Linked DNA regions of Lytechinus pictus. The protein of the gene in region 1 interacts with the protein of each later gene in a pairwise test. Links are inferred from orthologs where the notes say so. Each region holds a gene or a part of one and is shown in the gene's direction. Other genes may lie near its edges.

The links.
Region 2: the proteins of elongation factor 1-gamma-like (region 1) and Golgi to ER traffic protein 4 homolog B-like interact in a two-hybrid assay, tested with the Homo sapiens proteins (2 studies listed by BioGRID and IntAct, with this or other methods). The link is inferred for Lytechinus pictus from reciprocal best matches to the Homo sapiens genes EEF1G and GET4.
Region 3: the proteins of elongation factor 1-gamma-like (region 1) and delta(3,5)-Delta(2,4)-dienoyl-CoA isomerase, mitochondrial-like interact in a two-hybrid assay, tested with the Homo sapiens proteins (2 studies listed by BioGRID and IntAct). The link is inferred for Lytechinus pictus from reciprocal best matches to the Homo sapiens genes EEF1G and ECH1.

Annotation. Positions count from the first base shown.
Region 1 is NC_087251.1:26,857,613-26,869,037, reverse strand, and holds the start of elongation factor 1-gamma-like, read left to right. Parts: upstream 1-5,931; 5' UTR 5,932-6,285; coding exon 6,286-6,297; intron 6,298-6,436; coding exon 6,437-6,595; intron 6,596-9,217; coding exon 9,218-9,281; intron 9,282-9,660; coding exon 9,661-9,803; intron 9,804-10,880; coding exon 10,881-11,024; intron 11,025-11,425. Other genes in the region: nuclear valosin-containing protein-like, read right to left, coding at 1,105-1,203. UniProt on the Homo sapiens protein: Probably plays a role in anchoring the complex to other cellular components.
Region 2 is NC_087254.1:10,473,458-10,484,009, reverse strand, and holds the start of Golgi to ER traffic protein 4 homolog B-like, read left to right. Parts: upstream 1-5,875; 5' UTR 5,876-6,043; intron 6,044-10,469; 5' UTR 10,470-10,519; coding exon 10,520-10,552. UniProt on the Homo sapiens protein: As part of a cytosolic protein quality control complex, the BAG6/BAT3 complex, maintains misfolded and hydrophobic patches-containing proteins in a soluble state and participates in their proper delivery to the endoplasmic reticulum or alternatively can promote their sorting to the proteasome where they undergo degradation.
Region 3 is NC_087251.1:23,742,440-23,753,468, reverse strand, and holds the start of delta(3,5)-Delta(2,4)-dienoyl-CoA isomerase, mitochondrial-like, read left to right. Parts: upstream 1-6,352; 5' UTR 6,353-6,750; coding exon 6,751-6,802; intron 6,803-9,949; coding exon 9,950-10,112; intron 10,113-11,029. Other genes in the region: adenosine 3'-phospho 5'-phosphosulfate transporter 1-like, read right to left, coding at 1-886, 1,940-2,049, 3,378-3,645. UniProt on the Homo sapiens protein: Isomerization of 3-trans,5-cis-dienoyl-CoA to 2-trans,4-trans-dienoyl-CoA.

The DNA of each region.
Region 1 (11,425 bases):
TTTGGGACTGATCATTGACGAAAAACTTTCTTGGAAAGCACATATTGATAATATTTGTAAAATCATTGCTCGCAACATTGGTGTCATTAGAAAATTAAGTTACTTCTTACCCCATTATATTTTGTTATCATTGTATTCAACGTTAATTTTACCTTACTTGAATTACGGAGTTGTTGCATGGGGTAATGCAGCGAATTCTCAAATTAATAGACTTTTTATTCTACAAAAAAGAGTGATTCGTATTATTAGTCATGCAGAATTCAGGGCACATACAAATATTCTGTTTTTGAGAAATAAAGTCTTGAAGGTTAAAGATTTATATTCTTTTCAACTCGGACAGTAAATGTACAAGTTTATCAATAAACAATTACCGTTACCTTTTAATGATATGTTTGTAAAAAATGATACAATTCATAAGCACTTCACTCGCCAGGCGAGTTCCTTTCATTAACCTCTGAATAGAACATCGTTTGCACAGAAGACATTTGTTTTTACTGGTCAAAAATTATGGAATTCTTTTTCAAAGGATATTATACAATGTAATTCAATACAAAATTTCAAAGAAAAACTTAAAAAATATCTTCTGAAGTCATATTAGATTATCTTTTTTCCCCAAAGTAATGTAATTCAGAACTTATTATGTAAATGTGTTTATTAATTTCTCTTTGTATATATGTTTAATCGTTTTATGATTTCCGTATACTGAATCATTTATTTTTATTATTATTTATTTAATTTTACTTTTATTTGTTTATTTTTTTTTATTCATTATATATATATATTGTTTATTTCTTTATTTTATCTTATTTTTTATACATAAAATTTACTTAGAAAAGGGGGCCTTCACCCTACAAGCTCTGCTTATTAGTTGGTCTCCTTCCCTTTCGTTTTCATGGTATTATTGTATTGTAAAAAAATGATTTAAATGTTATATTTTGTAAATATGTATATTGAACTATCATTGTAAATGTAAAAAGATTGAAAGAGAAAATAAATGAATTGAATTATGAAATAAGGAATCAAACCTCCAATATCTTAAAAGCATGCCCAGAACTGGAGACGAAAAGGGTGGTTACTTTCTTTATGAATGGCAGCTGAAATTACCTCCTGTACTCTCTTGAGAAGTAAACGATCTCCGTAGTAATTGGTTGAGCACTGTTTGCGATCACTATTACTCTGTCTGGAATGTTTTCCTGGAGACATTTTGTACTTCAAGTAGAAATACTGTACAATTGAAGATCTACAGGAGAGTTGAAAAAGAGACTTTTAAAGACAGTTAAAGCTGGCAATGGAATGTTGTAAAAGGTACAAAAACACAAACAACTGGAATGCCCTCAGCAGTCTCAAATGAATTACCCCCAAATAGCATCTATTCGCATTCATGGCTGTTTATTTTACACAGAATTTCATTTTTGTCCTCTCCCTCAAACAGCAATATTAATTTTCCACCCTAGCACACAATGGTTGATAGTTTGAGGACATGTTGAGTTCTAATACCATTCATAAACACAGATGACATTAGGGCCTAGATATGTACATTTAAGTCATGCTCTGCATTCAGTAACAAGTGAGGAATGACCAAACTGGTAATGTCTTAATCCCCTACGGACTGGAACAGGATGGTGCAAAGTCCTTATACAGAAATGGGGCAACAGTAAGGATGGAGACACTAACTGCGACTGTAGAGAGGACCAGACAATGTCTTTCAACCCAAAGCCAGCACTGGACAAGCCTTGTGTAGTGACTCCAGAAGAAGTACCAAGGTTTTAAAGGGAAGGTTCACCCTGACAAAAAGTTATTGTAGAAAATGCAGAAAAAATCATTAAAAAATATTGGTGAGGGTTCGAGGAAAATCCATTAAAGATTTAAAAATTTATTAGAATTCTATTTTTTTTTAATTATGATGTCATATGCGTGCAGATTCCCATGTATCATATATTTAAAAATCAATAAAAATGTCATTTTTTCAAAATTTGAAAATGGGTTATTTTGTAACTTCAGTATATCAACAGAAAAAATATTTCACATCCGCTCCTGAGAGAAGAAATTTGTTATTTATCATGAACCCTTAAAAATATTGAAATTGAAACATTTTATAACATATGGGGCAGCTGCTCGGATGACATCACAATTCAAAAGTTTATATTCTTTCTAGGAACTGTCTTAATCTTTAATAGATTTCCTCAATCTTTCATCAATGTTTTTCTTTGTATTTAACAATAAACCTTTTGTTAGGGTGAACTATCCCTCTAAGAGGTTATCACTTTAAAGGGGAATACAACCCAAATAAAAACTTGTTTTAAAGGAAAATGAAAAACTAGACGAGTTGAAAGGTAAAAGTTTGAACAATATCAGACAAACAATAAGAAAGTTGTGAAATTTCAAAAAATCAAAATATTGGTAATCACTAAACCCATGGAGACTCCAAATTGGCCGCATATGTGATGTCATAGTGATGTATGGCAAGGACTACTCTTCCATTGTACTCCAATGCATAAAATTGCTAAAATGTCATTTTTTCAAAAGTTTTACTTTGAAGTTTAAATTATATTTTTCTTTCATGAGGACATAAAACAATACATTACCTGGGTTATATTTAGACTAGCGCCTCATGGGAATGGGTACTTAGGAGAAAACCATTAATCCCTGAAAATTAAGTACATGGCCTATGGGGAAAGTAGTCCTTGCCCCTGGTCATAATTTACTTACCCAGTTGCCAATTTGAAATCTAGTCTTAGGGATCTCAATTTTATAGCAGCCATAACTTTCTAATTGCTTGTCCCAATTTCTTTCAAACTTTCACCATTCTATTCTATTTATTTTTCTCCTCTCCAACACAACATTTTATGACCATATACTGAATTCCCCTTTAAGGAACCTTTATCTAGATTTTTTGTGATGATTTTGCGCTATCAGATCAAAAACTAGGAACAAGAGCAAATTTTTTTTTTTTAATTTAAAACGGCTTATTACAACAATTAGGGTATCTATAGCGGCTGAAAAGCCTAATTGCAGAACCCTTTACAAAATTTACATAAAAATACATTCAACATCAAATAAAAAAGCACAAATTCTACAGCAAAACACATAGAAATTTTGTTTATCATGTTGGGGACACATGTATTATATTATGACATGCATCCCCATTATGATAAGCCAAAACTTAAAATACATGCAGCCAAAAAACATAACAATGAGTTCTGACTAACCAGAAAGAAGCACGGGAGGAAAAAGGGAAAAGAGACTATGAGAAAGAGAAAAAAGAGAGGTAGAGAGCAAGAGGAGGAAGAGCGGAAAGATCGGGGGCGAGAGAGAGAGTGTATGAGTGTAAGTGTAACAATGACAATTTTTATTATCATACGTAGATCCTGGTAGCAAGGCTGCCTGGTAGGTTTGAATGGATCAGTATTAGGTGTACGTTATTAAAGTTAAGTGGCCGCAATGGAATGAAGCATATGTACAATACATAAAGGCAATCATATTATAATATAAAATAACATAAATAATGATGGTACATACATTTAGAGATAAAATTGTGTTTTAAAAGGGTTAGGCCTAGGCCGAATTCAAATATTCAATTCAGTACCCCAAAACTTTTAGAATGAGGCATACTTGTCATATACTTCTAATATGGTGTGTGGTCAATTTCGTAGTGGTGGGGTATTCTGCAATTAAGCTGAAAATTGCAATTGATAAATCCTAATTTGCTGCAAAATAAATTCAAGGTGAAGAAACTACCGTTACTTAATTTGAGGCTAGAGCCCATATTGGTAAGCCAAACTCTTTTACTTATATTGTATATGCCTTCAGGCATACTAGTCTCATCTTTACATTTCGCAATAAATGCGGACTCTTCTCACAAGCGAGTGTCTTAACGTTTTAGATTATTGAATTAAACTTTTTGACTTTCTTTGTTCATGTTGTTCTCAATCTTATAATGGGCCTGAGTCATGTTGGAATTTTTTTGTTCCGGAATCCACTGGTGTTGCACCGGACCGAATCCGGTATCCCGATAAATGAATTCACGAATGGGGAAGTACAAATAAGTCACAGATTATACAATAATATTGATTTCATTTTTAACCAAAAATTCATTTAAAAAAACGAGAAAAATATTAAGAGAAGACGAGGAAAAAACTTGCTGATGTTTACGTGGCCATCTTGTTCTCTTTATAAGTAGCTAAGCTACGAGACGCATATAGATTATAGAGGGCGGCAGACTCTATATGTGTCTCGTAGCTTAGCTACTAACAAAGAGAACAAGATGGTCAAGTCGTAATCGTCAAGTTTTTTCCCCTTCTTCTCATCATATTTTTCTCGGTGGTCACCTGAAATGTAACAAAGAAACCAGTTATCAGTAGAGGCGCTGGTCCAAAGATTGGGATTGTCCCAGAAAACAAGGATATCCTAAACCAATGCAAATCCTGTCTTGATAAATTGAGATTGTCTTTGTTTATGCAGACAGTTTTTTTCTTCACTTACCCCTGCGGGACATAGATGACAATTACGGAGACTGAGAGCGATAAAATACATTCAGTGACCTCCATTCCCTCCAGTTCACCATCTATTTTTCACGACTTGCCGTCTTCCAATAAACTTGTTATGAAACCCAACAAGTTTACATTTACTCGCACACTTGATTGATGTCAGCACTTGACAGGTGAATGAACTTTCCTAGATTTCTTGTGTGAAGAAATCTTTGAAACCTGAGGCAGTACATCCCCGAGTGTAAACTAGGAGTGGGACAATCCTAATTTTCTGACCAGCGCCTCTACTGGTCTGGTTATAATTGGTAAGACTGAATAAAACATACTCTGCTCAATCATTATGTTAACCCTAAAAGGACTGGGCTATTTGAGATGTATTGAGGACTGGGGGGAGGGGCCATGATGGTCCCCCCCCCCTTCTGATCTCGGCCGCCGTACACGCATTTGCGCCGAAATTTGGCACGCACATTCTTTATCACATAAACTACAAGCTAGTATAGGAAAAAATCTGAAAATAATTATTTTTTATTTATTATGAATCAAATATGCAAATTTATTCATGAAAAACATTATTTGCATATTTTACACCCGATTTCACTTCAAGTTTTCTTCCTTTTTTCCAAATGTCATCTTTGAAATCTAACTTAATTAAAGGTTTCCACAAAGAAAAATTGCAAAAGCCAATTTTTTCCTCATGTTTTTCTCTGTTTTTAGAATTTCTTATATACAATGTATTTCTTTGTATTTTTTTTTTCAATGGGAATTATTACAGTCCATTTAACAACTAAATTAAAACCTAAATTAATTAAGCAGACCAATTAGAATGAAAAATAATCCACCCTTTTATGAATTTCATCTCAAAATAGACTTTGTCTTTGTACAAAAAGTATAAAAATGGGCCATTTTCGGCACGACATTGTCTCGTAAAAAGTCATGTGATGACGTCGCGAAGCTATACCCATATCATATGTCACGAATTTGGTCTCAATAGTTGCGCAAAACTTCAGTGACAAAAAAGAGGCACAAAATTTTGTGGCGCTATCTTTTTGCGCTTCGGAAATATCGCGCAAAGCGTCAAGGGGGGGGGGCCGGGCATCATGGCCCCCCAGTTCTTTAAGGGTTAAGAAAATGTTAAACTACATTGTTTCATTGGAATACAGGACCAGAAATAAGAAAAACCAGAACCTGATACATGTCATTGGACAGATATTTTTTTATCAGATTCTGGTATTCCGTCCGTTAATTCAGACCCAGGCCTACTAAATACTACTACTAGGCCTAATTAATATAATAAAAAAAACATAATGGAAAATTTACCTCAAAATCTTCTACTTTTTTCTAGCTATCCACTGCAACTTTTATCAACAATGTGACCCAATGTAGTTTCTATGACTAAAATTTCGAAGTTAATTTTCTAGTTAGTGTGTTTTTATGGCATGCTTTTATTATCAAAAACGTAAATGTGCATGCATGGGACTGAAGATGTTTGCAACGTTAGTTTTGGAGCATAACATTGCAATTAATTATACAAAATTGAACTCACTGAGAATTCTAAACAGGACTGATGTTTCTTCGATTGTGTTTCGTTCAGATGACTTCAGGAAGTAATAATTTTATTCCGGTTTCAGGCCGTACATAAATCAAAAAGTAGCTATTGTCACTGGAACATGTGCAGGCCGGCAGCTGACTACGCCGCTACATACGTATACAGAGGGAGGGGGATCTCCCGGCGTGTTGTTCGCGCAGCTATTCTGCTTCTCTTTTTGCAACGTCAACACGGTCTTTCCAGCTAGCAGCCATGGCTTCCGGGGTAAGTCCACACGTGTATCTTGATTTATATCCACTTATATTTCTTTCATCTTATGAATATACGCTCTAAAATACCTTTGTTTGTGTTGATATAATACTTAATATTGTGATGATCTATTCATTATCATCTTGTTTTGCAGACTTTGTACACCTATCCCGAAAATACTCGGGCATACAAGATCCAGATCGCTGCTGGTTACAGCGGCACACAGCTGACCGTTGTGCAGGACCCACCGGCTTTCAAGCTTGGCGAGACCAACAAGTCAGCCGACTTCCTGAAGAAATTCCCGTTGGGAAAGGTAGGCCTCGCTCTCTCTCTTTCCTTCTCTCTCTGTCAGTCACGAAGGGCTTTGCTTTAATTTGGGAGTCAACACCATTGATGACAGTTTTTGAGTGCTGTGGTGAATCAAATTGAAAAATACAAAGTAACGGCAGTATCTGAAAGTGAAAGTGAAACATTTTTTCATTTTGTTTGCATGCCTGCCTAGCCAGGAGGCTTCTAACGTTAGAGAGTAAAAATCATTTACTAACGTATGCTTACTCTCCACGAAGCCTAACCCAGGAAACTCCCGCCCGCTGCGCGGGCGGGAGCCCAGGAGCTTACCGTGTATTTGACCATACTCACGGGACTAGGGTGATTTATAATTATGGTCTAAATATTTCTCCAAATGAATTGTGAAAACAGAAATTATGCACTTACCACGATTACGGTATTATTAGCCCATTAGGGTATATGGATGAAGGTCTAACGAGTGACAGTTTCCTGACATCTGGGCACAGACTGGAACCTCAAAAAATGAAAAGTTCTCTCCTTCTGCCCCCGTCTCGATCGGACATTTTTGTTATGAATTGCGCGGGCGGGAGCTCCCTGGGTTACACGAAGCCTAACCCAGGGAGCTCCGGCCCGCTGTGCGGGCCGGAGCCCAGGGGCTTACCGTGTAATTCACCATACCCACGGTAGTAGCGTGAAGTATGGTCTAAATAATTATCCGAATAAATAGTTAAAACAGAAATTAAGCACTTACCACGATTTTATGGATGAAGGCCTAACGAGTGGCAGCTTCCTGACATCGAGGCACAGACTGGAACCTCAAAAAACGAAAAGTTCTGTCGCGGTAGCTTTCCTTTCAAAATTCAAAACAAAATGGCCGATCGAGGCTGTTGGGCGCATGCGCGAATTTGGCAAGACAATGAAATCAAGATGGCGACGTAAGCACGGTGGCAAGTTCTTCCCGTCTTTTCATAACATTTTTCTTGTTTCTTCAATGAATTCTTGTTTAAAAATGAAATCAATATCGTAGTAATGTTGGAAATGAAGTTGTATCCCATCCCATGTACATGATTTAGGGCTAGATCTTTTTTTAGAAGGAAAGTAGAAATCTCGGGGGCGAAAGTTTCAGGTTTTTGGGCGGTGCGTGTAACTATGGGAAGCAATTCCAGGCTCCGTTGAGAGTAAGCATGCGTTAGTAAATGATTTTTACTCTCTAGGAGCCTCAAGGCCAGGCTAGGGCCGATTACACGAAAGGGTCTTTTCAAGGACCGTCTTTCGTGTCGCCCGTCTTTTATGATGCGCTGTATGCGGGATATTTCTTAAATGTATGATAAACAAAGAAAATTTGTTAGCTAGCATTTAAATCAATTTGTATACAATTTCATGATACATCACATCATTTTATAAACAAAGATTTTGTTTACTTTAACGGATGAATGAAATATGTTTGCAGGCAATTTATTTAAAATGCGTTTCACATGTTGCATCATGATAAATGGGCGACACGAAAGACGGTTCTTGCAAAGACCTTTTTGTGCAATTGGCCCCAGGTTTTCTTCGATTGCCGTCAGCGCAGCTACAGCTAGCTGAGCGTACGAACATGCCAGCCATTCCACTGGCACGGCCGTACGCTCAGCTGTAGCTGCGCTGACGGCGATCGAAGAAGAACCTGGCTGATCCTGATCTATTTGTAATAAAAATTCACTATTTTCCCGGCATATTTTTTTGAAAGGTGGTAAGCAGAATGTATTTAATATAAATTTATCTTTAATGGGCATAATGGCCCCCTCCCCCTATCATTGCATTAATTAAATTTTAAAATTTTCAGGTTTCTAGGGGCAGTGATTTTCCGTTTCTAAAATTTACTTTTTCAATTTAAGAAAAGCTTGAATTCTGTTTCAGCATGTCTGAAAACGGAAATTCTATTTCCCCATAGACTTTGTGTACATGAAAGAGTGACAATTCCGTTTACATAGAAAATCAATACGCAATGAGTAGTGATGTAAAAATACTTGTGTTGGTCAAACTTTGTATCTGCCACTTTACTAACAACGCTATTAATACATCCTCACCTTTCACATTATTAGCATTATTTTGTGGTTAAATGAGATTTTATCGATGATTTGGGGACTTTTTGGACATCTTTTTGAGCAATCAACGACTTTCGCCTATCCGCCATTTTGGATTTGAGGAATACCGCGATATGATATTATGATAGAACGCAGAGGGCAGCAACACACGGCCATGTTTCTGCCTTCATGCGGACGTGAGTGTAAACTAATTTTAAGTGATGGAGGGGCTCGACTCGCTCGAGTGCAGTCACGATGTGTGGATTGTCATGATTGTTGTAGCGAAGTGAGATCGTGTTTTTTGACCAGTTGATATTCGTATTTCGTTGAGGATTTTGGAGTAATTTCTGTTGCTATTCTGTGCATTTTGAGAAAAAATATGTTTTCCGTGATTTTAGTTTGAAAAGCCACTTTCCGTTTCAAAAGGTCGATTCCGTGAATTCCGTCTGTTTTCCGTGATCATGGAAAATCACTGTCCCTATGTTTATGACCACTCCCAATCACTTTTGACAGTTTCCTCCAGATTTTACTTTCATGACCAGAACTAATGTTTAACTTAAATTTTTTTTTTTTTCATTTAGGTTCCAGCCTTTGAGAATGGAAGTGGAACAACATTGTTTGAGAGTAATGCTATTGCATACTATGGTAGGTTATACAGTATTTTTGTGGTTTATATACTTAGCCTTATTGAAAGGCATTCTTAGGGCCTAGGAGATTGGCCTTAAAAAAAACATGTGTTTGATTTTGTTGCCAATTCACTTGGGTATTGCCTTTACATCGTTTTCAAAAAGATAGGAGCTATAGCTGTTATGGTCACAACATTGCAACTGTTGTATAAATGTTGTTTAATTTATTGTGTAATTTGTATAGCAAGACTTGTCAAATACTGCAAATTTAAACGTGTATAATTTGACATTTTCCGAGATGTCTTGTTCATTTTAACATGGAATTGCCCATAATCAAATATTGAATGATGCAATTTAAACGGATTAGATTTTCACATTGTAAATGTCTTTTTATATAGTGAGCAATGAGCAGCTGAGGGGTACTGATGATTTGTCAAGAGCTCAGGTTCAGATGTTTGTCAACCTAGCTGATAACGAGATTGAGCCAGCTGCCAGCACATGGGTTTTCCCAACATTGGGTGTAGTACAGTACAACAAACAGGTATTTCTAAAAGACTTATTGAAAAGCAATTAGAATATTTGAAAAAGATAATCCTGTGCACCTCTTTACAAAGAATCGTGGATCCTTGTTTCTTCCATTAGTACCAAACTTGTTTTAAACCTACTTCTACTTCATCTTTAAGTAGATAATAGAATTCATAAGCAAATTCACAGAATTTGTATATTATCTGTCATTGTAAGAATATTTGATGGTTGGGTTCTGATTTTGGTTATATAAGAGTACTTTAATTTACAATAATTAATTACCCAGTTGTGTTGATTAAGTTTATGCTGGCGAGAACATAGATGAAAATCAGTGTATTTTGAACATTTTGAGATTGTTATGGTCAGTGGTCTCGGGCCATGGAATATATACCTGGGGGCCATTTTGTAAAGCTGTTCGCAACGTTAGAGTGACTTTAAGAATGACTGGTGATCCTTTGTTGTGGTAAATGATATTCATTGTTGATTATTTAACATGTAAGAAAGGTTCACTAGTCATTTTTAAAGTCGCTCTTAACTTACAATAAGCTTTATGAAACACCCACCTTGTTTAAAGAGTGGAAGAGACCTTTTTTCCCTTTAATTCAATTTGCAGTTCTGTAAATTGTACACCCCCCAACATTCAATGATACAACTGGTTTTACTGCCAGTAGTTGTTTCATTTGGAATTGGGGGTACATTAAGCATGTGAGGTTTTCGTGTTTGGGAGAGTCTTTCTATACTCTTTATCCAGACCCCGTGCTTCACTGACATTTTAATAATGAAGAACAGATTTTTTTTTTTTTGCATCCCAAACCAACAAACTTTCTAGTGAATATAAAGTTGTGTAATTCTTTTCTTTAATTTATGTTTTTATATTTATTAGTGGATAGATACCATGTAAATTAAATGAATGAACTATTGAGAAATGATGAGTAAACCCTATTCCCTGGAGATAACTTTGGCTCAGGCCCAAGACTTTGTCTATTATACTGAAATCAAATCATGTGAAACAGGTCATTAGAGTATGATTTGTGACTTGTCTATTCAAATTGACCTGAGATTGACTTAAATTGACCTCCCTTCTTTAATTCAGCAAACAGAGAAGGCAAAGGAGTCATTGAAAACTGTTCTTAGTTTCCTCAACGAGTACCTCAAGACAAGGACATTCCTGGTTGGTGAGAGGGTCACCCTTGCTGATATCAGTGTAGGATGTCAGCTACTCCTGGCATACAGACAGGTCAGTATAATAGCGATCTCCTGGTGAAAAGGATTAATACTTCATGATAAGAGCATATGAAGTTGTTACAATTTAGAAGTGTTAATGAGACCGTGTGTTGACATTCATATCGTTGGCGGTAATCCGAACCATCGTATCACACATATGACACTGCAAACCTATTTTAGAGAAAATCAACTTAAAAGTTTACTATAATTTCTACACTTTGTTCCCTAGCCTTACAACATATTTATTGCTTAAAAAATACATGGTTGGAAAGACCAAGACAATTGCTTGACTTTGGTATCTTTATTTTTACACAAAAACCAAGAATCAGAGAAATTACATTCTTGTTATTTCGTCTTGAGAGGTTTTGATTTTCCCTGTACAAAAACTCCATAGGGGATGCAACAACCCTGACC
Region 2 (10,552 bases), on another chromosome or scaffold:
GAGCTCGCCGATCGTCTGTTCGTCTGCTACGAGGGGGTGTGGCTGTGGCGTAGCGGTACGTGCCCGGGGGTACGTGCATGGTGGTGGTATAGTGGTGGAGTGACTTGGCATGGTGGATGCGGGGGGGGGGGGGAGGAGGGGAGTATTCCAGACATGGCTGTCGATCGGTGTTCATGGCACTTCATGGTGCGGGGGGGGGGGAGGGGGCCGGGATGACTGACAAGTACCAGTGGCGTACTTGGCATATTACGTCAGGGGGGGGGGGGGGGCAAGCGACAAGTAAGGATGAGCACGGTGGGGGGGGGGTAGTAGGCATGGACGTATAGGCACAATTATTTCAAGGGGGGCTAAATCATTGCCCGAATATCAACTTTATAGTTTTTAATTTTCGAGCGAACAATTTTTCAATTATTATTTAGCCTTTTTACATGATGTGAAAGTGCAGAAATTATACATTCGGTCATAAAATTACCAATACACGAGGATATTTGGACGCATCACAGTCCTTGTTGCCCTGCATTTTACAGCCCACCCCCCCCCCCCCCACCCATACACGTTTGGATGTGTAGGTCAATTTTCAATTTCAATTTATTTTATTTCATTTTCAACAGAACAAAGTAATGTGTCGAAATAATTACAATGAACTTATACAGACAAAATAAATTGAGGCATGTACAAATAAATTATATTTATCTATAAGTAAAAGTAAAACAAAACAGAGTATTACATATAAGCAAAATATCATAAACAGTATAAAATAAAATTCTGAAAAAATGGAGGAATCTACTAAAAAGCAGTGCTTGTATTGTATGGACCCCTCTAAATAATTATTTTAGATTAATAAAGTGCAGCACTGAAGGTGGGAAATGTTACCCAGGTGTGCCTAATAAAACAATTGGGATCTTGCTACTACTGATATTTGCTATCGGGCGATCGCACTTTATTGTCCAAATGAATTCTTTTTTGGTATATCATTCCAGAAATGAAATGTATTGGATCGTGATCGATATATTTTTATCCGGGATTTCTATTCAAGTGGTAATTGCAATGTTTATATTAAAATACTTCTTTTATTCCTCTTTGAAGGTGTTACATTATGTTCCCAATTCTGCTCATTTGGAGACGTTATAAAAGAGGTATTTGACATTGAAATCAGTTATAGTCATGTATTGATTTGCCTTTGTTTTATTTCCATTTACACAGTAAAAACAAAAATAAATGCATCCATTCACTCATAAAAAATAAATATGAACATGAAAATATATGCGACAGTAACATGATATATCACTAGATATGGGGAAAATCACTCACTCACTGGCAGGAATGTCAGAAGGTTGAGGAAATTGAAATTGGAAAAAGATAGGCGGATGAATTAGGGATCGGGTACATAGGATAGAAAGGGGGTGGTAATAACCAGAGGAATGTGTAAGCCCCTGCTTACACATTCCTCTGGTTATATGGATATAATTCCTGAAACTTAGACATAGCTAGGCCTTTTCCAGTGGGGGGGGGGGATGTGGAGGACCTTGATTACCGACAGATATCAGCAACGATTACTGACGACCGACGACCAAAACTCATTTATATCCAACCAAGGATTTTCAAGTGGGACATTTTTGTTTACAAAAATTTTCACAAGCCCCACCCCCAAAAAAGTCTTTACTTTCACTGACACGTGCCTAACAATTTACACTAAAATAATATTAAAATAATAATTGCGAGCGCGAAGCGCGAGCTGATTTTTTTTTTGAAAATCTAAACCTAAAACGATAAATTTTGTGCACTTAATTATAAATAGGATGGGTATCTTCCTTAATAAATTATGCGAGCGCAAAGCTCGAGCTAAAAATTTTGATATTTCTAACAGGACCCTATATAGACATTCTAAGCAGTTTTACAGGATGGATATCTAAACGGTCGTGCGGGCGCGAAGCGCGAGCTGAAAATTTGAGATATTCCCCCCTGAAAACTTGACATTCTAAGCACCTTTTTTTTCTAACTATGAACAACATGGTAGTTAAAAACAATTAATTGGTGTGAGCGCGAAGCGCGAGCTGAAAATTTTTGATATTTCGGACTGAAAACTTTACATCCCTTCATTTAATTATGAACAAGATGGAATTTTATGCGAGTGCGAAGCTCGAGCTGAAATTTTTGATATTCTAAGCAATATCTGTAACCGTGAACAAATTGGTTTCTATGATATATTGTTGATATTTTTTTATATTTTGACCTGAAAACCGGACATTCTAAGCACTTAATTTAACTATGAAGAGGATGGTTATACCTAAACAGTTACATGAGAGCACGAAGCGCGAGCTGAAATATTTAAAATTCCGGCCTAAGAACTGGATATTATAAGCACTTTTTGTAACTGTGAACAAATTGCTTTCTAACTAATCAATTGACGCGAGCACGAAGTGCGAGCTGAAAATGTTTGATATTTCAACCTGAAAACTAGACATTTATCTAAGGTATCCAACTAAAAAATTGATACGAGCGCGTAGCGCGAGCGAATTTTTTATTGTTATAATTATATTACCTAAAAGTTGTTATCTACATTTTTCCTGTCCCTGGTCAGCCCAGTCCGTCCTCACTATCGGTACAGAGAGCTCTAAAAGTCGCATTGCGTAAAAATCACAATTTACCGATAAAAGTGTACAGTTTAATTGACATTTACCGACAAAGATGGTGGAAGTAAAAAACCGAATCAGTTGGAACAGCCCCGTGTGCCCGACAATTATCATTTTTTCCGACAGTCTGCAGTCGAGTTTTTGTTTTCCCTTTCTCTTAAACTCTTTCTTCTTTTGCCCCTTCCCCTTTTTTTCTTTCTCTCCTTTTTCCTTCTTTTCTTTCCCTTTTTTCGCTTCCTTTTTTTTGCTTGTGACTCGTCAGGGGGGGGGGGGCAGTCTACCCCCTCTGCCCCCCCTTAGGTACGCTAGTGACTAGTACTACTAGTATTGTTCGATCTCTGTGAATGATTTTTTTTTTTTCTTTTTTTTTCGGGGTGGGGGTACGTGGGCCAGACATAATGGCGTTCAAGAGCAAAATTAATTTTTTTTCAAATCAGTGAGTGAGCAAAGCAAGTGAGCATAAATTTAGATTCTTTGAATAAAAAGTATGATTTTGTGTTATAGATTATGACATGATTAAAATCATATTTTACACTCCCCCGATTTTTAATTTTTTTTCTCCGGCCGTGAAACTTTTTTTGAGGTTTAGCTAGCTAGGGTCCCGGCCCGAGGCGCCGATCCTGGGGGGGGGGGGCACTAATGAAAATATTGGGGTGACAAGCTAGCATATCGTTTTGCCCTAATAATTCCGTAAGTGCAAAAATAAAATTAAATTGTAATGTTAACACAGAAATCAGCAACATTAACCGAGCACAATATAAAATTTAGATTTATTACATCTATAGATCTAGTACAGTACAAAATCATGAGTCTGCGCGGGAAATGATTCCATCTATCATTGCAAGTTTTGTTAAGGTATAAGCCCTACATTTACGCAGGAATCTCATCATATAGGCCTAGAATACTTTTCTGCACTAGCGTACCTACGGGGGGGGCAGAGGGGGCAGACTGCCCCCTGACGAGTCACAACCCATGCAAGGGACATATCCCTGCCTCCCCTGACGAGTCTTGAAGACCTTTTTTTTTTTTTGCTTGTCAAATTTTTTTCTGGTACGAAATCCTTTATTTGTGGTTGAAGACCCTTTTTTTTTTTTTTTTTTTTATTTGCCCCCCCCCTGTGGAAAAAAAATAATGGCAAGCCCCTCTTTTCATAGGTTCATATGTAGATCAAGGTGAGTTATGTATCTCTCTAAATTAATTCTAACAAACTACTTTTAAAAAAACTTTACCTTGACAGTTGATAAAAAATTTCGGCTCGAGATTTGCGCTCGCATCAATAAAGTCCTTAAAATTTCCAGTTTTCAGGCCTTAATATCAACAAATTTCACGCTCTCATTAGGCTTATAAAAAATGATTGGATTAGATCAAAATAACACTAATCATATCAGCTCGCGCCTCGTGCTCATACCATTAATTCATTGGGATCCATTTCCACTTCACAATTTCCCTACATCACACGTGCTTGAAATATTGCATAAATTGACCCTTCTTCAGATCCAGATCAGAATAATTATAATTTTTTTCAGCTAGCGCTTCGCGCTCGCATTAATGACTTTCATGATAAAAGAAATGTATTTAGAATGCCCAGAATCCAGGTATTAATGTAGGAAGATACCAAATTACCCACCCTTTTCATGATTTCCAAAACATTATTGGAGTGTCCCATGTTTAGGTCTAACTGTCAATTTCCCCCCGCTAAGTTGCGCTTCGTGATTGCATCAATTATTTAGTTATATAGCTATCTTGTTCATGATTTTTAAAAAAATGCCAAGAATTTCCAGTTTTTAGGTCGGAATGACAAAAATTTTCTGCTCGCGCTCGCATTATTTGATTGTTGAATCATGTTTTATCTTCATGGGTCCAGAAACGTGTGTGTGTGTGTGTGAGTTTTATTGTTTTGTGCGATCAAGCGCCTTTATTAATTTTGTAATGTTGATTTATGACTCATGATTTTGCCCCCCGCCATCTGAAAAATGGATTGAGGCCCCTGCCCCCGGCCAAGCCTCTACGCAAGTGGGAAGCCCGGGTGGGAAGGGGGTGTATAGCAGTTGAGACCAAATAGTGTATAATGTTTATTTCTACTTTATTTCTGTTTATTTCTACAACAAGTCTATAGGTACTGCATAAGGACTAGGTGAATAATTAATGTGAGCTCGAAGCGCGACCTGATTTTTTTTTAATTGACGTAATTATAATTTGCCATTTTGGGGATTCTTATCAGTTTTAATTGTTATTTCCCTTGTCTACCCTCTTAGATAGATTCATTAGCGACCATCCGATTTCCTATATTGTATTACTGAACATTTTTTTACTAAGTGCCCATTCTTAGCTCCTTATTTTTATGATTAAAGCCAACTTCTGCAGTATGTCCCTTTAAGTCCCATATATGCCCCTATCTACATTGATAAATAATAATACTTATTAATTATATGGCGCTTTTCCCATAAGGCCAAAATGGCCAAAATTGCTTACAATGGAAATACTTGAAATAAACCATGAAGCTATTATAGCGCCGTGAATAAATTATATAATGCTAAAAAAAACTATATATGAAACTACAAACTACGAGAGAGAAACGCCCCTAATTTTCTTTTCTTGTTTGTTACAGGGCAATTCAATTAAGCACACGTATACTATTTTTTAATTCTACATGGGCAGTATACGTGGAACCGGGGGTCAGGGGGCATGGGCACTTGCCCCTAAAAATCCCATATGCAGGGATTTTTTTTAAAAGTGAATGTGCCTATTGCGAAATAAATCTTTTTAAATCATTTTCGTTCCTGAAGTTGTTATGAAATACCGGTATTTCCTTCTTTTTACATCGTGTACATTGGGCCTATTAAGTGTCCGTTTAGTGTCCGCCCTATACTCCCAAACGAAATACGTTCCGCTCTGCCCATATCCCACATGCTCCTACATTACAACAAAATAATATGCTGACTCATTTAGAGTGGGGCATGATTTTTTTTTTTTTTAAGATAGTGCCCCGATAGTACCCGTTTCAAAAGGGGAAGTGTCCCGAAGTGTCCCCATTTCCCCCAAAGTCCTCCCAGCCCTCCCACTTTCAACATCGCCTTTCCGCCCCAGGCCCAGTATGGTGAGCGTTTCAGGAGCAAGCCTTGGGAAATTCCCTAAAACCGTAAACTGAATAACCAGTCGTAAATATGCGTAGATCTATATACTGCATCATGTAAATACTGAGTCGATATTTCTTCAGCTAAATATACGGCCTGTCATCAAGTCTATATGGCTTACGCGTTACGCCTATGGTCTAATACGTGGTGCATTTTTGGAAGGGTCTCGAAATTCCACCGGATGTCTTCTTCGATTATTTCAAGAATTTTTAAAGACTGTGAGAGAACATTTCATATTTTTACCTGGTCCCGCGGAGTCAACAACGTGTTGTAAATGTGAGTTCAGTCTGGTTTTGCTCAAACTCAGCTTAGGATCTTCAAACTAAAGTAAAAAATACAATCGTGTTCGTCATGTTCGTGTGCAATTTTTTGTGCACACAATTAAGCTGGGAATATCACAATACCGTGATACAAGTATTCAGATAGCACACGAGCAAAATGACCACTGACTAACGTGCTGTATTTTATTCGGGTTGGGAACTTAGTTCCTGTGCAATGCAATTCAAACCATCATATCAAAGAGGGGGGGTTTGAGCCTGCACCGCCATGACCGCACGCTGCCTGCGGTGTGCCTGAGGCGCTGAGCTACGCTGCGCTGCAGCAATAAAATTATTTTTTAAAAACAATTTAAAAAACGTGGATGTGGAAGTGCCTGGCCTGGAACTGGTTGCATGAGTCCACCACATATCGACCACCTCTTTTGAAACCAACCACCCTGCACACATTAAGATTATTACAAACAACACGCTTGGGATGGTAGGCGAATATTGATTTCATAAATAAATATTAAAAATGTTTAAATAGTCTAAAAACTGACATACTTCAGTCTACTGAAGCTTTTTGACATGCACTCATGGGCCTGGGAGTAAAATCGCATGAATGACCAGAACGCTAGAGCAAAACAATATATAACTTTAATATAAGAAAACCGAAAGAGCAATGGACGCTAAAAAAAAGCCTTAACAACTTGTTCATTGAATGAGTGAGCTGTGTCTGTGACTTGGCTGTCATTAGCTCGTCGTTCAGCGTCCACTGTCTCTTCGGAAGTTCGGTTCTATTATCAAACTACAATGAATGATACTATAAAATACCAACAGAATTATTATATTGTTTCATCTAGTTTTTTATGAAATTTGCTCAAATAATGGTGAAAGTATTCAAAATTGTTAAAGGGGAATGAAACCCTTGGAATAAGTGGGCTTGTGTGGAAAGAGAAAAATCAAAGAAAGTTTGAGAAAAATCGGACAAATAATAAGAAAGTTATGAGCATTTGAATATTGCGATCACTAATGCTACGGAGATCCTCCTATTGGCAATGCGACAGATATGTGTGATGTCACATGTGAAAAACTTTCCCTTTGATGGACTATAAAAATACCCCAAAAATGTATCTTTTTGCTCTTATGGTGATACAAACCCTTCATCCATAATATATTCTTTGAAAATCTGTATTACAAGCCCCATAGAAAGAATTAATGATCTACTGATAGATGTCATAAAATAGGCATTTTAAGTGAAATATATACAAAAGCAGTGGGAAAGTTGTTCACATGTGATATCACACATCTTTGTCGCATTGCCAATGGGAGGATATACATTACAATAATGATCTAAACTTCAAATGCTCATAACTTTCTTATTATTCATTCAATTATTCTCAAACGTTTGTTGATCTGTTTCTTTGATTTTTCTGTTTTCACACAAGCTATCTTGTTCCAAAGGTTTCATTTTCCTTGAAGATTATGATATGTGCTTAGTTTCACTCCAGCTGACGAAGTAGCAAAGTACAAGAACACAAACCTTTTTTTGTCTTGATTCTGTTGATTTCAATTTCGGTCTCATAATCTCATTCTTAACACCAGAAGCCAGCATATGCTGACCTGTCAGGATTTTCCTGCTTCTTAACTTTCGAAATGTTAAAAAAATCATATATGAAAACAAGAATGTCAGAAAAATCTCCTTGGACCATTCATGCCTCCAAGTCCTCAATATACTGTATCTTAACTCTTCATGCATTCCGTTTGCATTATTGCACGTCTGTAGGCGTGTTATATATTTCGCATTTCTGCACAACCGCGCATTCCCCTAATGATGCCTCTATGTCCAGGTAAATTGTAGTTTTCAGAGTTTTGTTCTGTTTTATATACATTTGCTTTCAAAACCACTTAGTGGGAGATTAATCAGATTATCTACCTTCTTTACATGTTAAATAAATCAATATATCCTTCAGCTGACCCAGGAAGTTCATTGAAAAAAGGAGAGAAAAGAATCAATTATATCCTCCTCACAAACAATACCAAGGTCAGGTTCATTGTTATTAGGAGTTAGGACTAGATCATGACACCTGTATGAAAGAGGTGCTTTTTTTTCTTTGACTAGTCGAAGATCTACTCTCTTTTATTTATTCACAGTAGTATGGTCTACTTTTGTCAGATTACCAATGATATTAGAATCATGTCTGTGATAGACTGCCCAGGTGAATACAAAAATAGAATCACGCCACTGACCCAAGAACCAAAATAAAGGGCTACACTTTTGTTGAAAATGTAAGAAGAAAATGTTTTTAAAAAATTATTTGCAATGCTTTATTTCTTTCGTAATGCAATAAATTCATACATGACAAGAAAACCCACCAAACACTACAAGTTTGCCTCACAACATTTCCTTTCTAAATGTTCAGATAAAAGTTATAGCTGTTTAACTAACAGAGTATTATACCAGGTAGAACGGTTCACTGCTAAAATAATGCAACATATAGAGGGTTTACAGGTCAATGCACGATGAGTTTAATAGCTCCGTAGTTTAAGGGTTGAAGTTATTAAAATACAGTGCGTATAAAAAAAAACGGGACAGTTTTGAAAAGTCTATAAAAATTTTGTTTAAAATCATATCTATATTTTGATGTTAATAGATGCTCTGATATCTTATCTTTGAAATGCAATTAAAAAAAATATATTTTGTTTATGCTTGAGCGAACATGGGACGTTTTTGTCGGGGGTTCAAAAAAGAGGCTTGCGCCAAAATCGCAGGAATGAGAAATTTGATGATTAGACTTTTGGCCAATAAGCAGACCTCCTCTTAATCTTTTCATTATCTTTGCCATAATTTTCAAATTATGCTGTCAAATTTCATTTACAAATTTCTTTATTTACCTTAATTTTTTTTTCATTCAAACTTCTTTTACCTTTGAATTTTTCTTAATAAGTAAGAAAAGAAGACTTTTTGTCAACCCAAGTAAGAAGATTTGCATTATTAATTGGGAGAATTCGCAATTATTCAAATCCTTTTATTATATGAAACAAATTATGTTATGGTACCTGTAAAAGACACGAATCCTATTTTCAAGGGGTCATTGAATCCTTCACCAAGTTTAATTATGTGCTTGGCAGGACAAACAGGAAAGGATTCATGTCTTTCAATGGCAATGGTGTAGCCTATTGAGTCGATTTTGAAGGAGCAAGATATGGCAGATCGGGTAAAATGTATTAAAAAGTTGTGAAGTGAGCAAGCAAAAAAATTTCATTATTTTATTAAAATATCAAATTTTGTGATTTTGATATGATATTCTGAAAATGATAAAATTTTTCACTTTTTATGTTTTCTGTTATTTTCCTGTCCAATTTTTTTGTAAGTCAGGATTTTTTTTTTTTTTTTTTTTTTTTTGGGGGGGGGGGGGGGTGGGCACCCCGATCCCCCACCCAACAGTATGCCATTGTTCAAAGGCACCATAACCTTTGTAGCACACAATGAAAGGATTTGAAAGAAAAAATACATGTACACGCTCTCCCATACTTCGGTTTAAAAAAATTGTTCTTGCCTAAAGAAGGAATATTCAAAGCTGAAAGAGAACATACTAAAAAGGAAGAACAACAGAACTATTCAAGCAAACAAGAGGATTTGGAAACAAGTTTTGACTGCATAATTCGAAAATTATGGCAAAGATAATGAAAAGGTTGAGAGGAAGTCTGCTGATTAGCAAGAAGTCCAACCATCATATTTATCATTTTATGCCTTTTTGGCACAAGCCTCCTTTTAAACCCCAGACAAAAACATTCCGATAAGACCTTAGAGCACCTATTGACACCAAAATATAGAGATCATAATTTGAAACAAAAATTTTATAGACTTTTCAAAACCTGTCCCGTTTTTTTTATACGCACTGTACAGGACATTCAGGGGGAATTGCCTTCTTGAGCCCAGCATGGGGCTCTACTCATTGACTGCAGGGGCTTAGTGGGCCCCTTGGACCCACGGCCATTGGATGTCCAGATTTTGCATATGTTGGCATGTATGCATATAAAAAACTGTGTACTTTGAGCCTTGCACATGCGCTAACTCTGGTAGTGCATGCCGTTGCGTTGTTGGCAGAGCTATTTGAGTAAAATGTTATGACTGCGATTCAAGCAGAATTAAACAAGTCAAATTTCACTGGAAATTAAGGGTTAGAAGGGAAAAGAAAAAATCATCAAAATTATAAGTCAAACATTTACTTGATAATAGCCTGTGACAAGCACATGAATTTGCTTTTTTTGTAACTCTGTACATTTCATTGCATTTTTAATCATAGTGTGACATGCAAGATTTGTTTTTGTATAGGAGTTAGATTGAGATTGAAACTAACGGAATAGAGACAGAAAACTTCGGTCTAAATCCAACCCTCTAAAAGACATGAATTCAAATTTCAATTTTTGTTTCTGTGAAGAATCACCAGAGGACCTCTAGAAGGCTTTGTGAGAAGAGTGAGAAGAGAGAATGGCATCAAAAGCTCCTGCGAAGAAGAATGAT
Region 3 (11,029 bases), about 3.1 Mb from region 1:
CTATGACACCCATGATGCCCTGGAAATTGAGAGGATGGCCATAAATGATGCATGAAAGGAGGATAGCCAGGGCCTGACGGGTGGTCATGATGATGGTGAAGATGACCGCACCAAACTGGGAGATGGTGTAGAAGATAAAGAGCTGTCCAGTGGCTGAGAACAGTGAGAGAAGTCCTACATGAAACATGAAGGTATTGTACTTGAGCATGAAGCCAATTCCCTCAAAGAACCCACCCTGTTCTATAAGAGACCAACTGGTGAACAGGCAGGAAAAGAGGTTGACACCAAACATCATCTGAATACTGGACATACTGTATGTCTTATACAGGTCTGCCTGCCAATTTGAGGTGAAGCTATCAAAGGCCATGTAACCAACCAAGATGATGACCCCTGATAATGTTGTCACAGTTGATCCTTTGTGATCCCCTCCCTGGGACAACAAGAACAGTGCCACACCAAGAGAGATCATCACAGCTGTGATGTACTCGTAGTACTCGTATGTTTTCCCAGATATGACCTTCCCCATCAGCATCACAGGAATGATCTTGGAAGCTTTGGCCAGGACTTGGGTGGGAAAGGTGACAAACTTGAGAGCCTCATACTGGCACCAGCTACTCATGATATTGGACAAAGAGCAGTAGGAGTACTTGTAGAGGGGTGCAGTGTGACGAGGTTGAGCAGTGAAGTTCATGAAAACCAGAGCAGCCATGAAAGCGAGAATGCGGTTCATGAACACTAGGAATTGGGAGTTGGTGAACGTTTCTCCTGGATTATGTGCATCTTTGCCATATTCATGTGCCATTATACGTTCTTGAAGGACTCCCCATGTAAGGTATGACCCTTGCAGGCCAGCTACGCAAAACAGCAGCACAAAACTACGGTTCATCTGGAAATGAATAGAGTATTACACATTACTATAGTCAGAATACTAAAATTTTCATTTTCAAAAAGCAATAAAAAGTGTCCGTCCGGCCGTCCATCCATCCAATGATTAATATCATTTACAGTATTCATTTCAAATTCATATTCCTCAAAAGTTAGAGTAGCATTGACAATATTGTGTAGGTTGAGGGGCAAGATATATATTCATATGAAGGGCAATAGTCTTGAAATCTGGTAACCTGGGCTTAAATAAAATTTGATGTACTATTTAGGCCTAGTCCTATTGCCCTTTGGTAAGTTAAATGTCCTCATTACCGGGGGCCAATAGCAATTAGAGTAGCAACTGAATACTTACTTACTAATCAATTGCTAGTCCTAAATACATGCTTCTAATTTATTGGTTGAAAATAAAAATGTTTGATTTTTAAAGTTGTGACTGATTGCAACTCTTTCTGCTCTCTGATCCATCAGAAAGTGTATGGTCATTGGTCCTCTGATCGTTTACCATTAAAGTAGTCTTTTAATAATCTAAAGTACTGGCTTTTAACAGTCGCTTAATATCTGCATCTTAACCATGAAATATTTCTGACAGCACTCCTCTCGATAGCTGTAAATCTATCTCACCTGCATTTTTTTAAAACTAAACCATTAAATTATAGGTCTGGCAGCAATTGCTGGAAATCAATCATTTACCTTACCGGAATCAAATTCCTATCTAAACAGAAAGCGCAAGAAATAAACCAATATCATCAGTAAACTTTATCAGGTCAATATATGAACTCTTTCATGAACCAAACTGTCATGCAACAAATACAAAACAGTTAAGTAGACCAAAATAGTGACATTAGTGCATTATGGTCACATACAAGGAATGTTGAAAATGTAGTCTGAAGAAAAACTTTTGTCTTTCGCTTGCATTTCATGTGGTAGGAAGTTTAGTTTCAAAAGGTACTTCATTCCCTTTTGATGAAAATGGTCAACAATGTTTTTCTGTGAAGTAATAAATATGGATGTAGTTCCTTTTGGAGCTAAACTTTTTATGTACATATAATATTACCTTTGGTTTCTCAGTCACTGTAGCCTTGCTACCTCCTTCCTCTAAGCTTGCTTTGATTTCGTCTGACCCAGTTACACATGATTTGACAGTATTGTACCAACAGCCATGACCTACACAAAATACATATTTCAGAAAATAAGAGGTTTAAAGAGACCTACTGTAACTGATTAGGACATAGACTCAGAAGAAAGAGGAAAATATCCCAAAGAAATACTACTCTCCTAGGAATTCTTCAGCATGAAAAACAATAGCTACCAATTATTGCATTTATGTCAATTCATCATTAACATCATTGTTGCTGGGATGATGATGATGATCATCATCACCACCACCATCATCATCACCATCACAAACACCATTACATTATCAAAGTTCATAATTTGTACTTCGCATACATGGACAAATAAAGTAGAGCTACTGATATCATTATCATTACCTGCAGCCCTTTAGCTCCCTCTCATTTCAGGTTATTCAGGCAGATAAAAATGCAGATAAAAGCGCAGGGTTGAATACCCAAAAAGGGCAATGTCATGACACATGTTACTAGCTCCGGTTACAGATTCAGAGTAGTAAGCCAGCTTTTTGTTTCAAGCTAATTTGCTTTGCATAAGAATATGGTATATCATAAACCAAACTTATTATAACTTTGACATTTTATTTCAAGTATTTCACGTCATATGCTCCAAAATATATTATTACATAAATTACATGTACATGTAAATCATTGCCTAGATGTCAACTTCACAACAAATGACATTATGCGGATAACTGAATCTGATGTGATATTGTTATCAACGTTGAATCTAACATTTTATTCCTCTAACATTTTTCTCCAAAAGCACCTCAAAGAGCTACTACCTGTATTAACTTAATAAACCCAAAGCCAAAACAATTGTCTTTTTACCGTGAAGTCTTCATTTTTCTTAAAGTAGTACCTGTATCTTCTTATCAAATAAATCAACTCGGTACTATATAGAGTTTCATCTAGTTCTAATTATTACATACATGTAGAGCTCTGATAGTGCTGGTACAATATAAGTTAAATGTCTGTTTCTGTGCTGCCCTAACTTCCTTTCCATATGTACTGGTACAACACAGCCAGCTTTACTCCCTGTAAATGAGAAGTTTTCAGACTCCTTACAGTTCTTCTAATATTGTTGGTAAAAATTAAAAAAAAAATCATTCTAAAGGGCATATACATGAGTTTGTAACTAAAGAAATCTTTTAAAAATAAGATTATTTAGATAGCTTTATTCAATCCCAAAATTTTGTTGCCCAAACATGTAGGCTGACTTCTTAAAAATATTTTTGACAAGGAAAAGGTTGTGATTTTGAAAAGGGGGAGGGGGAGAGGGTGCAAAATTACTTTTTTTTCCTAGGAGTAGTGGGCATAAAAAGGCAGAAATGCCTTTGTCTTTTTATATGCCACTACTTGTACCTGAGGGATCCTCACCTCCCTTTTCCAAGTATCCAGAGCTTCTGACATAGCGAATCACCAGCCAAGCAGGAACAATCACTGACAGGTAGCCAAGAACATTTAGCGCCAATCTGATAAACCAATAGTCCATCCAGCCTTCAGTAGAAGCTTCATCTTCTTCTTTTGCATTTGCTATATGAACACTAGCAAGGCATATGAAGAGGCTTATTAAGATGGCAGCACTGACACAACTTGGCCTAGTATTATTGGGTTGTCTGAAAGCAGCCATTTTCACTTGATTTCTATGGACAAAGGAAATACACACAGGAAGTTATTTATTTCAATAAGTTGAGACTTGATATTCATTGAAAATTAAATTCTAAAAATGTTAACATGATCATCATGATGGGGAACTGCAGGATCCTCATTTTATAGAATCTTGTTCATTATAAGGACTTCTCCATTATACAAATAATATAAAAGTTCAATCACCTGTCTAACACTAATTGAGAGAAATAAAAACTAGTTGATCTTCATTTATTGAAATATATGATTTTATGAAAAGTTGTCACTCTATACTATCAATTACTCTCATCATTGGAATTGTTGTTTTTACAATATTAGTTCTTCCCAAAGTAACACACACAACATACTGTAGGACATCTATAGTGTAATTTAGTGTGTATATGTTATGAGTACATTATTATGCCATTTTTATCCAAAATTTTAATTTTTTTCATCAACATAAAAAAATACAGTTTGTACACAAATATTTTGGAATCTATAGAAATTTTCAAAGTATCAAAATAACAGAAATTTTCTCTACTTCCTATTGATAACCAATTTCTAAAAGCTTCTAAAGGTGCTTTTAAAAATTATTTTATAATATGTAATATGATGACATGCTCCCATTTCACAGAAGCGTGCCTAGAGCTAGCCCGATATGAATCAAGCAAGACACGCACATGTTTTTTTCACAGCCTCTACATCGCCGCTACCATGCATTTCTAATGCTCTGGATTCTATTTTGTATGCAGATAACTCCAGCTTGTTCATGTCCCATAAAAATGTTGAAACTTTACAAAATGTTCTTTAATAATGAATTGAAATATACATCAAACTGGCTTACTGTAAATAAATTAACTTTAAATGCTCGAAAATGTTTTTTTTTTATGGTTTTCACAAATAAAAATAGATCATTACTCAAAGTTGATGTTTATTTAAATGAGATGCCAATTAATGAAGTAGCATTTACTACCTTTTAGGTGTTAATGTCAATCTTGATAATAGGTTAACATGGAATGAGCATGCTGGTGTCATCTGCGGCAAAGTTGCCAAAACATCACTGTCATATAAACTGCACGTTACCGAAGATGATTCATCTTTTATTATATAATACACTGATTTTACCTTATTTGAACTTCTGCAATATAGTCTGGGGTAATAAACACATATTAACATATTTCTTTTACAAAAAAGGACAATGAGAATTAATTATTACTCACTCCTCATATCTGTGTCATTCTGGACCATTGTTTAAAATCTTTGAAAATTCTAAATATAATGTATTTGAACAAAATGAATATTGCAGTTTTAATTTTTTCTTATATTATAAAATATCTTGCCGAATTCCCTCAAAAATTATTTTTTATCAAACACATCTGTACATACTCATTCCACTGAAAATGCTTGAAATATTCATATCCCACAGTGCAATACTTCTCTCTTTAAAAATGGCATATATTATCAAGGACCAATTATTGGAATTCAAAATTCTAATTCAATCCCTTCCCATATTCAATTAGATTTAAGCTCTTCGGTATCTGTTTTTAGAAGGAAATAGTCTACAAAACATTTTAATTGTCAAGTTCATAATCTAAATATAACTTAAACTTATTTCTGGCTCTCTAGCTCTCTCTCTCCTTGCATTGTTAACCCCCTAACGGTGGCTGCACGATAGCAAGCCGTCTGTGTACAAGGAGAAATTAAAAAAAAATTAAAAATGTTAAAAAACTCCTCGAAACAGACGGCTGCCAGCTGTCTAGCCTAGTATCACAACAGACACAAGCCAAGCCTTTTCGGCCATTTTTCCTCCTCATTCATGTCATATCCTTTGTTTGATGAACAATTATGGCAAGTTCCCCCAAGTCTGCGCAGTCCCCCTTGTCTGCGCGATTCTAGTAAAAGAAGATACGCAACGAGACTTTAAACATGCAATACATAGACAGGTATTCATTGAAAAATCCGACTCAAAATGGTGGAAAAATAATAAATTCAGGGCATTTCATGTGACGGCCTCAAAATGCAGCCTTTCTCATCAAAATCCCAGAATCGTGTGCAAAGTGAATGAGTGCGCAGACATGGAGTATCATTTTTTTTTCAATCTGAAAATGACTGCCAGAGGTTTTTTCAAGAAAATCCTATATTTTCTTTCATTTTTTAATGAGAAATTTGGTACACTTACTCTCAATAATATAAGCATGATAAGGAACATTATTTTAAGTTTTTATTATTTTAACTGAAAGATTTTGTGAAATAAGAAGAAATTCATGTTAAATCTCAACTCAAATTGTTACTGTTAGGTGCGCAGACTTGGGGCCCACCTTACTGCGGCAGCCCGAACACAGTGTACTGTGAAAGACGTGTCGAGGTCCCCGGGGCAAGGGCACACCATCATATTTATAGTTGTTTATTCACTGTCTATAAAGTATTTTATGTATCTTGTCTGATTTCTTGAGGAAAAATATAAATTAAACTGATTAAGTTGTGGAAGAAGATTAAGCTTGGACGAAAGCTAGACCTGGAAACTTGGCTGCAGCTTTCTGCATTTTTCCAGTACATCCGGTAATAATAATAAGAAACTGAAAGATTGACTGGCGCGACTATAATATAAACTAAAGAGTAAAGCTAAGTTTATAAACGAAAGCTGATATCATGAAACCGCACTAAAGTAAGCTCGTGGGACTGTTGTTCATGTTGACTGTTCAGCTGCCTTCATGCTTCAGCAGTTCAGCCTTCTCTCGATCTCAGTCTCACTCTCAGCTCGGTGGAATTGGAATCTGAAAACGAAATGTTTAACGTTATAACTATGCAAGAAAAAATGAGGCCTACATAAATATTTATACGTATTGGACATTACCAATTTCCAGATTTTACAGTAGATCTAGATCTTACAGTTACAGTTACAGTTAGAGTGATGTTGACTGTGTCGCCTGGCCTTGTCGGTACCGGTAGCTAGCCGAGCATAGCAAGACACGTCGACGTCAGCTAGCTATCGATATGATACACGGATACCGGGCCCGGTACCGGTACCGGAAAATTTTGTGATCGAGCTAGCCACAGCGGTACGCCTTTTTTATACCACGCCCGCGCCCGTGGACGGCACGAGATCATCATGAATTCTCTCACCAAAGTCATCCTGTCAACAGCCAGGAAAGGGAACTTGAGTAAGATTAATTGAAAATTTCAAGGAAAGAAAATGGCATTAATCTGTGAGATTATTTTAAGTGTTAGCATTCGGGTGGGGGGTTCAACATCAATTCAAAATACGAGTGTAAGATCGACCCAACTCATGAACTGGATCTAGCGAGCACGCAGACCGGTGCTCCCCCGGCTTGTACCGGCGGCACATTTCGAGGCTACATGTAGCTGCTCTTACTAGCTAATTTAGTACGGTGTTGAAATCTGGTTTTGGTGTTATGTGTTGTGATAAAGTAATGGTCAGTCGTGATCATTTTTGGTTGTTTGAGAAAATATTTAATGCATGAGTACGAGTGAACATGAATTGCAGTTTTTAGCGCAGCATTAACATGATTAACGCATTTTAACTTATCAATATATGTAATATGGTTCTCAGAATCAGAATGGGGTTCATGGGAGTCACGCAGGAGAATAGGGGGTTAGCATGCATGGTTAGGGGTGAGATAGTGGGTGAAATAGGTTGATTGGACAAGGGTCAACAGAACATTTAGCCACCCCCTCCCCCCTTCCTGTTGAGATTGAGACTGATTGCTATTACATTATTTACATGTTCGCATAATAAGCCATAAAGTCCAGAGCAGACTGTCAATTTAATAATAAATTCTGAAAATTAGGGCATCAACTTTTACCTATCAATCATTTAATCAACAATTTATTAGTAAATCAAATGCCAATGTGATCAAACATTCACCTTTTTTAATAAATTATTTCATAAATCATCATAATCTGTAAATTTCTTAGTAATCATTCAATGAAAAAAAAAAATTACCCATCAACAACAGTCACTTGGCAGTTAAGTTTTGAATACCATCCAGGAAGAGAGAGAGAGAGAGAGGGGATGGAGATGGTGGTACATGACTTGTAATTTGTAAAAGAACACAAAGAAGAGTAATGCCCTTTTTAACCATGTATTACCCTTTCTCATCCCTTTACTTGCAACAGGTACCATCACATTACTCTAACTCTCATAAACACACTGCTGAGGTCCACAAGAGAAAGTTAAAGGAGAATGAAACTCTTGGAGCAAGTTAGCTTTTGTGAAAGCAGAAAAATCAAAGAATAAGATCAACAAAAGTTTGAGTAAAATAGGACTAGCAATAGAAGAGTTATGAGCATTTGAATGTCGAGATCACTAATGCTATGGAGATCCTCTCATTGGCAATGTGACCAAGATCTTTGATGTCACAGATGAACAACTCTCCCCTTTTGGACACTGAAAATATACCCCAAAACATCTCTTTTTGCTCATTCTAATCATATGACAAACGTTTCATCAATGATATAATTTTGTGAAACCTCTGTACTTGTCCTCTCATATAGAGAACACCTCACCTTGTGATAGACTCTATAAAAGTGAGAATATAAGTGAAATACTACTAAAGTAATGAGGGAGTTGTACGTGTGTGACATCACAGATCTTGGTCGCATTGCCAATGGGAGGTTCTACATGGCATTAGTGATCTCAATATTCAAATGCTCATAACTTTCTTATTATTCATTCAATCTTCCTCAAACTTTCAACAATATGTTTCTTTGATTTTTCTCTTTGATATGGATTCAGCTGGTTTCAAGGGTTTCATTCTCCTTTAAAATGGTACACTATAATTACGATTCCTGTTCACTCATGCATTAAATTTCAATTTAGTAACTCATGAAATTTGCTTAAAAAACCAAAACTTATCTCAATTGATCATTAATTTAGCATGACACCCTTAACTTTTCAAGTTCCAAGGACTAACCTAAAAAATTGGAAGGTTAATTCCCACCCAGCCTAGTCAATCTTAGTCTCTCAGGGGGGTTGAAGTGGAGGGGGGGGGGGGGGGGGGGTAAGAGAGGAAGGGAGGGGTGGCTAAATGTTATGGTGACCTGTATCCTATCAACCTACTACACCTTCTTAAGTCCTATCTCACCCTTTTTCTCCTGACTCTCATGGACAAACTGCAGAGATCCACCTGAAAAAGTAAAAATGCTGCACTAAAAAAGTACAATTCAAGTTCAATCATGGAGTCATGCATTAAATTTCAATATAATAGCTCTTGAAATTTTCTCAAACAACAAACTGGTCACGATTGATCATTAATTCATCACAAACCCTCAACTTTGCAAGTTCCAAAGGATCGCCTCTCAAAAACTGAAAGAAATAGGAAGGCTAATTCCTGCCCAGCCTAATTATCATACCCTTTATTTAAAGGACAAGTCCACCCCAACCATTAGTTGATTTGAATAAAAAGAGAAAATTCCAACAAGCATAACACTGAAAATGTCATCAAAATCGGATGTAAAATAAGAAAGTTATGACATTTTAAAGTTTTGCTTAATTTCACAAAACAGTTATGTGTACATCCTGGTCAGTATGCAAATGAGGAGGCTGATGAAGTCATCCACTCACTATTTCTTTTGTATTTCATTACATGAAATACAAACTATTCTAATTTTCTCATTGTCAAGTGAAACAAAGATTAATTCCTCCCTGAACATGTGGAATTAGCATTGTTTTAATACTTATGGTTCAGTCAAGTTGGTCCTTATTGTCAAATCTGTAAAAAAATGAAATATTGTATAATTCAAACAATAAAAACAAAAGAAATAGTGAGTGATGGACATCATTGACTGTCTCATTTACATGTCACTGAGATGTGCATATAACTATATTGTGAAAAATAAGCGAAACTTTAAAATGTCAACTTATTTTACATCCGATTTTGATGAAATTTTTAACGTTTTGCTCGTTGGATTTTTCTCTATTTATTCAAATCATCCTTTTTCTGGGGTAAACTTGACCTTTAAGTGGGAATTGCTCACTCATGCATGAATAGTTTTCAAACTTTTTGGATTTTGGTGTTGTATGAAAATGAAAGTTTACTCTATTTGCTTTCCATATATTTAGAAATTTTGCCCACAAGTGATATATTTTTTGTATGGCAGCCATTTCAAAAGTGTATGGTTTTTTTAGATGCACTGTATATGATTGTATTTGTATAAGAATTCCCTGTTTCTATTTTGGTAATAGAACTCACCTTCATACTTTGTGCTAATAATTTTATGTAGACTTGACTGTATTTTTTGTTATTGAAAACTTCATTTGAAAATTGTTTCCTTTATTATCATTTCAGCCAAGATCGGCCTTAGAAGAACACTCGCTAGAAGCATGTCTTCCGAAGGGCTGTCAAAATATAATTTTGAGTCACTTGCTGTGACTAATCCGCAAGAGTTCATATACAAGGTTGAGGTGAACAGACCAGAAAAACGTAATGCAATGAACAGAGCATTTTGGAGGTAAGCTTTTTAATAAAATCTTAAAGCGTTTTCATAGAGCATCTGCAGAAATTTTAAAAAGATTTTGCTCTGTATGAGGGTGTCAAAGTTCAATATTGTTCCTTAATTTAATTGTCACAGAAGGAAGTGTCTAATATGAATGGAATTTGTCATTTCATGTGCATGTAATATTTGAGAATGGAACAGTATTTTTTTTATTTCAGTCTAGGCTTTAATTAGGAAGCCTTCATTGGTTTGGATATCATCTACATTAATCTTAGTATTAAGGTTATTGATTAAAGATGTTTAGGCTATCTCACACTTAGCTTCATTGGTTTGGATATCGTCTATATTAATCCTAGGATTAGGGTTATTTGTAAAAGATATGTAAGCTATCTCACACTTAACTTCATTGGTTTGGATATCATCTACATTAATCTTAGGATTAGGGTTATTTGTAAAAGATGTTTAATCTATCTCACACTTAGCTTCATGGGCTTGGATATAATCTACATTAATCTTAGGATTAGGGTTATTCGTATAAGATATGTAAGCTATCTCGTACTTAGCTTCATTGGTTTGGATATCATCTAAATTAATCTTAGGATTAGGGTTACCGTATTTGAAGATGTTTAAGCCATCTCACACATAGCATTTCACAAGATTAAAAAAAAGAATGATATACATAGTATACGCATAGCGAAAATTCTTTACTAAAAATCAAAATGTTATTACTCTATTAGAAAACTTATTCCAGAGGAATTGCTGTGATATTTAAAGCTACATGAATCTCATAGCTGGCGTCATCAGTTTAAATGTAAGCTTTCATATGACCAGCTTTGTTAGCATCAACGTCATTGAATGTTTTTTTTTGGGGGGGGGGGGGTGTTTGCTAATTTTCAAAGAAAATTGAAGTTTATTCTCAGCCATAGTACTAG